Oryzias latipes: one gene and its partner. The protein of the gene in region 1 interacts with the protein of each later gene in a pairwise test. Links are inferred from orthologs where the notes say so. Each region holds a gene or a part of one and is shown in the gene's direction. Other genes may lie near its edges.

Evidence for each region.
Region 2: the proteins of fam214b (region 1) and kif20a interact in binary tests that used the Homo sapiens proteins (3 or more experiments, as listed by UniProt). The two-hybrid records come from large-scale screens. The link is inferred for Oryzias latipes from reciprocal best matches to the Homo sapiens genes ATOSB and KIF20A.

What each region holds. Positions count from the first base shown.
Region 1 is NC_019867.2:3,985,083-3,989,669, forward strand, and holds the start of fam214b (protein FAM214B), read left to right. Parts: upstream 1-1,491; 5' UTR 1,492-1,844; intron 1,845-4,587. UniProt on the Homo sapiens protein: Transcription regulator that may syncronize transcriptional and translational programs.
Region 2 is NC_019872.2:14,183,269-14,187,642, forward strand, and holds the start of kif20a (kinesin-like protein KIF20A), read left to right. Parts: upstream 1-1,463; 5' UTR 1,464-1,689; intron 1,690-1,906; 5' UTR 1,907-1,912; coding exon 1,913-2,086; intron 2,087-2,288; coding exon 2,289-2,399; intron 2,400-2,488; coding exon 2,489-2,608; intron 2,609-2,686; coding exon 2,687-2,825; intron 2,826-2,912; coding exon 2,913-3,088; intron 3,089-3,163; coding exon 3,164-3,263; intron 3,264-3,398; coding exon 3,399-3,611; intron 3,612-3,711; coding exon 3,712-3,823; intron 3,824-3,897; coding exon 3,898-3,972; intron 3,973-4,049; coding exon 4,050-4,190; intron 4,191-4,292; coding exon 4,293-4,374. Other genes in the region: cationic amino acid transporter 2-like, read left to right, coding at 1-78, 153-319, 499-607, 718-803. UniProt on the Homo sapiens protein: Mitotic kinesin required for chromosome passenger complex (CPC)-mediated cytokinesis. Following phosphorylation by PLK1, involved in recruitment of PLK1 to the central spindle. Interacts with guanosine triphosphate (GTP)-bound forms of RAB6A and RAB6B.

The sequences.
Region 1 (4,587 bases):
CTGAGAGGGTTCGAAGAAAAAACAGAAGAACTGAATTCTCAAATTTGAATTTTGATTAATTCAAATGAATCTACTGAATTAATAGCCACAGTCTTTTTAGAGCCATCATTTTGTCTGCTTTTAGTCTCAATTGAATAGAATGGAATAGAATAGAACTTGTATAGCTCAATTAAAAACAGCAAATGGGTTAAAAAAAACACTAAAAAAATTGACATTTTTAAAAGTTACATAAAAAAGACACAAAAAACCCTAACATAACATAAAATAAATTACATTTGTAAATTTGAATTTTACATTTATTCAAGAAAAAAGGATTTCTTTTAATGTAAATAATTTATTTTATTTGTAAATTACTAACAATTTCTAAATAAAAACGTGAATATTTACATATTTTTTTGTACTGAGGCGACCTTGAGTGTCCAGCGAGGCACTATATGAATAAAATGTGTCATTATTATTATGATCATTTTTTTAATTTAAATTTTAGAATAAATGTAATCAAAAATTAATTATAAGTGACACAAATAGAATGGCTGTGGTATGTAAATAAACGTTTTTCCTGTACAAAGGTGTCTTTTCTCAGGTGAACAGCAGAGGGCGCAAAATGCACACATTTAGCTTAGTGCTCACTATCCAGTCAACTTCAGATGGGTTCTGGTCAATTTAAAAAAACATACCATTCTTTGTAGGGACACAGAGAGGAACATATACCTATCTATAGAAGATTTTTACTGTTAAAAACAAAACAAAAACAGTCACTGTAAAATCCTCGCAGACAGCACTGATAGTGTATTTTAAAATAAAAACATATGGAGGTCATTTCTGTCAATTATTAATAATTTTGCTTTACACCATAATCAATCTTAGGCAATGCAACTATGTTAAGAGCAACCATGTGGACTTTTATTTAGGCTGTCACGTGAGCATAAGGCCATTTTTAAAGCCCTTGTCATGCAGGCCTCATCCTGATGGCTGAGCAGAATAGTGACAGTAAGCCGTGGGCTGCTGGGCGTGGAGTCCGTGCAGCTGCACTATGGAGATACAACATATAGCTGATCTATTCTTAGCTCTGTGTCAACACGGTTCCTCTGTTTTAGTAAAAGGGATGGAAAAGTAGGAGATTAGAACTCATTTAGAAAAGTAACAAGCTATTAATCTTTATTGGTTACCGTATTTCACAACCCGTTTGGTGTAAACGTTTATTAAATAACTAAAATGATTCATCATAAATGTTAAGTGGTTTAGCACAAAAGCCTTCCCTGACACTAAAACTGGGAGGGGGGGGGAAAAAAGCACGTGTATTGGGTGGGGTCTGAACTAATCCACTAACCAATAAAAATCAAGAATTCTTGCATAAATCTAAATATATTAAAGCCGTCTGGATTTCCGAGCGCTGATTGGTTGAGGGGTTTCAGGACAGCCAATCGTTTAAATGACAGGCACCCAGCTGTACGCTAAGTCCCGCCCTCCGCTTCAACAAATCCCGGAAATGCTCTCTTAAAGAGACAGACGAGGAATTTCCAGAGGAGATTGCAACAACGAAAACAGCTGCGAGCTCACAAAAAAAGACGAAATAAGGCTGGAAAAAAAGAGAGGAGGACGGAGGTGTTGTGTGGCGAGGCGGCAGAGCTCAAACTAACATTATTTGAGGACTTTCACGGCTAATGTGGTCAACGATTTCTGGCCTTGAGGTCGATTTTACGCTTCGGGAACGTTAGCTACCTAGAAACCGACAACGTAGCAGTCAACACGGCAGGGCGATAACAAAAAAAAAAAAAAAAGGCACCGGACGGACACACGTCAGTGATCACCTGGAACTGCGTCCGAGACTCCCTTTCTGAGAGGTGAGTCACTTCAAATCCACTGATGTGTCTTTGTTGTCTATTTATTTAATTGCGACTGGATGTGTTTAAACAAATAAATGTACATACGTCCCTTTAAAGAGCAGGTGGGAGCTATTTTTACGCTTTACCTGTAATCATGCTGCATTTTCTATTTTCTGCTTGTGGGTTGAGACAAAAATGTCTGGAATGAAGGTTGATCCAGCTGATAAAATGACAGCTACCCTGCAGGATTTAGGGGGCGTTCCCAGGCTTTGTCTGCCTTTTATTTGCCACTTTTCTTTATGTGTGCAAGCCCAGCCTAGCAAAATAATGTATATACATATTTTTAAATAAAAATGATAGCTCAGTAGTGGTTACTGCAATGCATGTGTAAAATATAATAGTTGTGAGAATGAGGGATCATCCAACCGTGGGGCATATCCTGGATTATGAATTGGATCCAGTGGTGCATTGATGATGAGAACAGTAAATCTTGCAGGACAGCACTGTGTGCAGTGGGTGTATTGTTCCCTTGGATTGCACTTGGGAGTTAAATTGCATCATGCAGTAAAAGAGGCCAAACTGATGTTGGTGCAAAACCCTTGTGGCAAACATGTGTAAAATCAATTTCATTGGGTTGTAATGCCTCATTTGCATGATAAATCTCGTCATGCACATGCCGAGGCATCAGCCTGGCAGCACATCTGCACGTGGGTATCCTGCAGCTGCCTGGCATATCTGTTTCTGCACATGCATATGTATCTGCTGAGCTGCTGGAGCTCTACCCCCACCTCTCTGTCTGGGAGAAAGCAAGTGGGCTTTGTCCTCAGCTGAGTGTGACGTCATGCAGATCTTTGGTGTAACCAACCCTGAAGGCGATGGACATGTTGTTCGGCAAACCTTGGCCCGGGCTTGTCCCGTGCACAAATGCACTACGACTTAGCTCCCCCAAAGGGTGAAGCCCTGACATGTGTTTGATGAATGCCCTCTATTTATATTAGAAATGAAAGATATGTACCTGGAACTGGAAGATTAGGAGCTCAAATGCTGCAGTGGGGATTGGTGGACACTTGTAGCACAGACATTAAATGTTCTGCTAGCTTGATTCCACGTTGACCTGTATTTCATGTTTCTGTTTTGTAAGCATGTCACATAAAATACGTTTTTGTCGAGTCTAATTTTTATCAAAACTGGAGGCTTTTAGAGTCTTATATCTGTTAAGTTAGATGCTAATGGTGTCACAGTTTCTTTGAAGATGCCCTTTGACTCATACTACCTGCAGTGCAGTAACACTTTACAGTTTTACTCATGCAGAGGTCATCTGATAATCTGACAGGGTGAATTAATGGACCGTGGACCCTTTTGTCCTCAGCTTGTTCTCCGTTTCACCTTTTTGGCAAATCAAGTGGCTAGTTTTTCATTGGAGGCTTCTTGTATGTGCTTGTAATAAAATAAAATAAAATAAAAACACATTTATTTTGTGTGTGTGTGTGTGTGTGTGTGTGTGTGGGTGTGTGTGTGGGTGTGTGTGTGGGTGTGTGTGTGTGTGTGTGTGTGTGTGTGTGTGTGTGTGTGTGTGTGTGTGTGTGTGTGTGTGTGTGTGTGTGTGTGTGTGTGTGTGTGTGTGTGTGTGTGTGTGTGTGTGTGTGTGTGTGTGTGTGTGTGTGTGTGTGTGTGTGTGTGTGTGTCTCTGACAAGCATTGTTGACGTGTGTGGGTGAAAGAACGAGTCTAGCTATTAAATGCTTTGAGCTGCTGAGGGTTTGTTGTCAGCCCTCCAGTCTGCGTTTGCTGGATTAGATGTCAGAGATTAGAAGTTATTATGTGGGTTAGATCCAGTGCTCAACACTGCTATAGGGCTTTATTGATCGGTAATGTGTTTACGTGTGACTGCATGTTTGTGCAGTCTCACACTGCAAAACCAAATTACATCTTTGGAATAGAATATGCAAAAGTCTAGAACGTTTTTTTTTTGGGGAAGCTTGGTTGTGCAAACCTGCAAAAATATATTTCAAACAAAAACTTCTATCTTGAGTAGCTTCTCTAGTTTAAATCCTCCTCAGAAACCCTGCTAACCTGCAGGAGTGTGGGAAACTGAAGGTCCTCTGTCTAACAACCTCTTTTGTGCTGCACAAAGTGACAACCCATTATTTTTCCTCTTTCTTCTTTTGTGAAACCTCAGCGGCAGAAACTTGACCGTTTATGTTTCTGTGAGGCTGGAGATCATTCAACCCAAAGACAAAAAGCAGACATAATGAGCTGAAGGGTCTTTCTGCTGAGGACAAAGGTTGGCTCGCTGCCATCCTTGTCTGCATAAAAGCAAACAAGCTGATTCCTTTTTATTTTTGAGCCACTAAAAAAAAAAAAAAAAGATTTTACAGGATGTGCGTCTTTATTTTAAAACGGGTTAAAAATAATGTCTTTCTTAACCGTCTGGGTTTCTAAGTAACAGCAGCTTGGCCTGCAGCTTCTCTCAAACACGTGATCCTAACTATTAACTTCTGGTTTACCATTAAAGGTCAGTCGGTTGACAAGAGGAAGAAGCTGGTCCCTTTAAAAACCTGCAGCTTCCCTGTTTGTGCCTCCTGCTGAGTTTCTAGATCATAGATGAAAACCTATAGAAAGACCCTGAAATGCAAAGTTAAAGAGTTTCAAAGGTTTATCTTCTGAATGATTAAAATCACACTCCGGTCTGATCAGACATTCACAGACTAATAAACTGCTGCTTCTCATTGATTTGGCAAAAGCTGCTCGCTCGACGCTGA
Region 2 (4,374 bases), on another chromosome or scaffold:
TAAGTGGTGTGTTAAGTCCTCCATCTCAAGCAACATTCCGGACATCAAAAAATGTGTCTCTTTTAACTCTTTTTACTAGTAAGTAATTTTTCAAATTAAACTAAACACCATATTAATTGCTATTTTAATCAAACACTAATGTTATGTTGCAGTTTTTTTAGCTGTCATCTTAAGCCTTTTCCTTCTGGAGGCTGCCACCGCCCTGCACACCCATCAGGTGTGGAGTTTGCTTTGTGTCATTGTGCTTGTGCTTATGCTGGTTCTCACAGTTCTAATTATCTGGAGACAGCCACAGAATACATCGAAAGCTGCCTTTATGGTATGTCTCATTTTTTTGTTTTTGTTTTTTCTTCATGATGGAAATTCTTTGATGAAACTGCTAACTAACCATGCTTAGTAAAATAACTGAAAATGAAAGCTGTCACTGAGAACTCACTAAATGATTCTCGCACATATCCATGGGTTTGTCATAACACTTGCACTCCTTGATGTGTGCAGGTTCCTTTAGTGCCCCTGCTTCCGAGTCTTAGCACTTTTATTAATGTATACCTCATGGTTCAGCTTGGATCAGACACCTGGATTCGCTATTCAGTGTGGATGGCTGTAGGTATGAAAAGAATATTGCACTAATTTGAATATTGCTTTAACATTTCTCAAAACATTGTTTTGCATGAGAATAACCACTAGTGATGTCTTTTATGTCTTTTTTTTTATTAGGCTTAATCATCTACTTCTGTTACGGAGTTCAGCACAGTGTCCAAAAACAAAGGCTCCAGAATTCACAGAACCAAGTCCATTTTTAAAGCATTAATGCCACGAAAGAATGAAATTACTGGACCTGGGAAAGATTTTTATTGGTTGACCGTGTGCATATCTCACAGTTGTGTTTTGTGTATTTCTTCCTTTATTGTATGTACAAAAAACTCTTTCTCAATGCTACTATGATTTATCTTCATGTCTTTTTTAGGTTGATGGTGTTTAAGCTGAATGCTTTTATGTAAACCACAAGAATACCAATGTTCTTTATAGATTATATGCAGGCTATGTTTAAATACAGTATGTAATAATTATTGTATTTTTTTATTCTTCTAATTATGCAACAGGGGGTGAAAAAGTTTGTTTTCTTCTTTCAGTTCCCTTTAAGATTGTGTGTGAAATTTTGTTTTTGTTTTATGGAAATGAAAGCAAATGAGTAAAAATATTAATATTAATATAAATATTAAAAACAATGAAACGGTGCACAAAAAATTTCGATCTTTCTTTCGATCTTTTTGGTTGGTTTGCCTTTACTGTTCTTCTGTTTGTCTTTCAAGTTTTATTTTATTTTATTTCATTTTATTTCAGGAACGAAAAAGGAACTCACAAGTTTCGTTTATGTTTCAGAAGGAAGTATTTTAACTGAACACCGTGTCTTCTGCTTCCAGCCAATTGGAGCATAGCATACGCCCTCAAGCAGCCAATCAGCACCTAACTGAGGAGAGCAGCGCATTGTTCAAAAAATTTCAACGCATTCAGGCGGAGTAAACAGCCCGGTAGCCCAGAAAACCGCAGTTGAAAACCCATGGAGAGGATTTACCAGATATTTCGATAGTGTTTAATTCTTTAGACAATTTAGGTGAGACAGAAAGGTTGGCTATTTCAAACATTGGGATCTAAGCGAAGGAATTTAAATCTGACCTGTGCTAATCGGTAAGTTTTTGTTTTGAAAACCTGAATTTTCAAGACATGACAAAACATATAAGGAATAAAAGTTAAGTTGTGCCAATAATTCCCCAAAGTATGCTATGTTAGGTAACATTTGAAGTAAGTGTGTGTTTAGCATAAATACAAAATAGATTCTTCTGTAAATTTCATTTAGGGAGTGCCAACAACACTCATAACGGGAACGTGGTGTGTTTTGTGACAGGAAAACATGGCGTTGGCGTTCTCTTTATCTTCTCCATATGGATGTCCATCCGACGAGGAGGAAGAGATGGCTGTGTTCGAGTCCACAGCAGCAGAGCACGGATGCCTGACCAGGCCGCGTCTGCCTGAGCTCTCGGTCATTTCTCCTGGTCTGGAGCCTCGATCATCTGTTGCAGCTCAGGTGAGGATCTGCTGAATCTTGCAGTTTGGAGTGGTCAAACACAAGGTTTTTGTTCCCGCTATGCACCAAAAATGTTAAAATAATTTGTTTTTTCCTATTTTTATATTTTGAATTTTGGCGTGTTTAGTGTCAAACTTATCAAAATATTAGGGAAAAAAAGCTATAAATTTGGCAGCAATCATTGATTCATGTGTTTTTTCAGAAAGTAGTAAAGAAATCTGGAATCTGTGATGAAGGGAATATGGAGAAGGTGAATGTTTTCCTGCGTATCCGACCGCTTACAGACTTGGAGAAAGAACAGGGCGAAGAGCAGGTGAGTTATGTTGTCATTTCCACAAATACTTTTTTGTGGTTGTTTTCAGTTTTGATGCTTTTTACACTTAATTTTTGCTCCTCTTTCAGGGCAGTGTGACTGTCCAAGATGATGCCACCGTGCTGCTCAAAGCTCCAAGAGAGTCTCAGAATTCAAAGACGGCAGAGAAGGGAGTCACTCAGAGCATTCACAAATTCAGTTTCTCCAAGGTAAAATAACCAAACACTGTATGGTACCTCTAGAAAAGATGGATCCACAATTTTCTGTTTTCTCCTGTTTTCCCAAAGATCTTTGGTCCAGAAACGACGCAGCAACAGTTTTATGATGCCACGCTGAAGAAAATGATAAATGAAGTTCTTAAAGGAGAGAACAGGCTTCTGTATACATATGGTGTCACCAACTCTGGAAAGACCTACACCATCCAAGGTCAATTTTATTCATTCCCTGAGATGTTTTCAGCACAGCATCTGGTTCCTTTACTCCCATATTTGAGTTTTGAATGCCATTTTACAGGCAGCGGTCAGGAAGCAGGCCTCCTGCCTCGAGCTCTAGTATCCCTGTTCAGGAAGCTGCAGGGCCGCCTTTACAGCGCCATGGACCTGAAGCCTGTGATGTCTCAGGATGTGAGGCAGCTCGACTCAAGTGAGGTCAAGATGGAGGAAATTCGCAAAAACTCTCTGCTCAAGGAGGTAAATAGAAATGGAAAGAATGGTGCTATACTTAGATTTTGACACGTAATTTGAGGTGTTTATCGTTATTGACAGGATGAAAATCTAACGTCTCGGCGAGCTGGGACTACCACAGTTTGGGACAGCGGCGTTGGAGGACTTTCCTCCACAACTCAGATCACTACACAACTGGAAGGTGAGGAGGAAAGCCACGTGTTGACAAGTTCTGTCATTTTTAGATGAAAGTAATATGATCTAGTGAGGCATTTCCTACAGGCCCCCACTGTAAGAACGTATTCACCTGCTATTAGACCAAATTTTCTTTTTGCAGACACTGACAGTGTGTGTTTGGAGCCGGACAGCCTTTCTCTCAGTGGAGGGGACGACCTGGAAGAAGGGGTGCAGTTTTCCATCTGGGTGTCCTACTTCGAGATCTACAATGAGTTCCTGTATGACCTGCTGGATACCTCACTCTCCCTGCAGTCCCGAAAAAGAATCACACTGCGGCTGAGTGACGACAAGCAGGGCAACCCCTACGTGAAAGGTAACACCAGCTGGTCCTCTGGAACAAGTCTCTGCTTTGTGTTTGACTGTATAACATGTATACATAACGTTGAGTTCTTCTTCCCCTTTCATCGCCACAGACCTTACCTGGATCCAGGTGCGGAGCGCAGAAGAAGCCTGGAAGGTTTTAAAAGCTGGATGTCGAAACCAGAGCTTTGCCAGCACTCATCTTAATCAAAACTCCAGCAGAAGGTAGGACCCCAGCAAGAGGTTTTCTGTTTTGAATTCTTTTTGTAGCATATCTAATGGTTAATTCATGAATTCAGCCACAGCATCTTTTCCATCCGCGTTCTGCACGTCCACCCCGATGCAGTTCCAGGGCAAGCTTTGCAAATCAGCGAGTAAGTTCAGCTGCAGCAAGCTCAAACTCAGTGACATTATTTTGGGCGCTGCCATGTTTTGATCATGCACTTTCCAGGCTGACTGTGTGTGATCTGGCCGGATCTGAACGCTGCAAAGAGCAGCGTCTTGGAGAAAGGATGAAGGAAGCCACCAACATCAACACCTCCCTTATGACCCTGGGGCGCTGTATCAGCGCCCTGAGGCACAACCAGAACAAGTAGGTGTAAAACTGACACTTTGGTTGGACCGAGCAGAACAAAATGTGGGAGCTGAGTTGTTGAGTGAGGGATATTCAAAGTATTTTGTATCCCGTCAATAGATCACGGCCACCTCAAGTGGTACCCTTTAGGGACAGCAAACTGACGCGCGTCCTGCAGGGCTTCTTCTGTGGGCGGGGAACC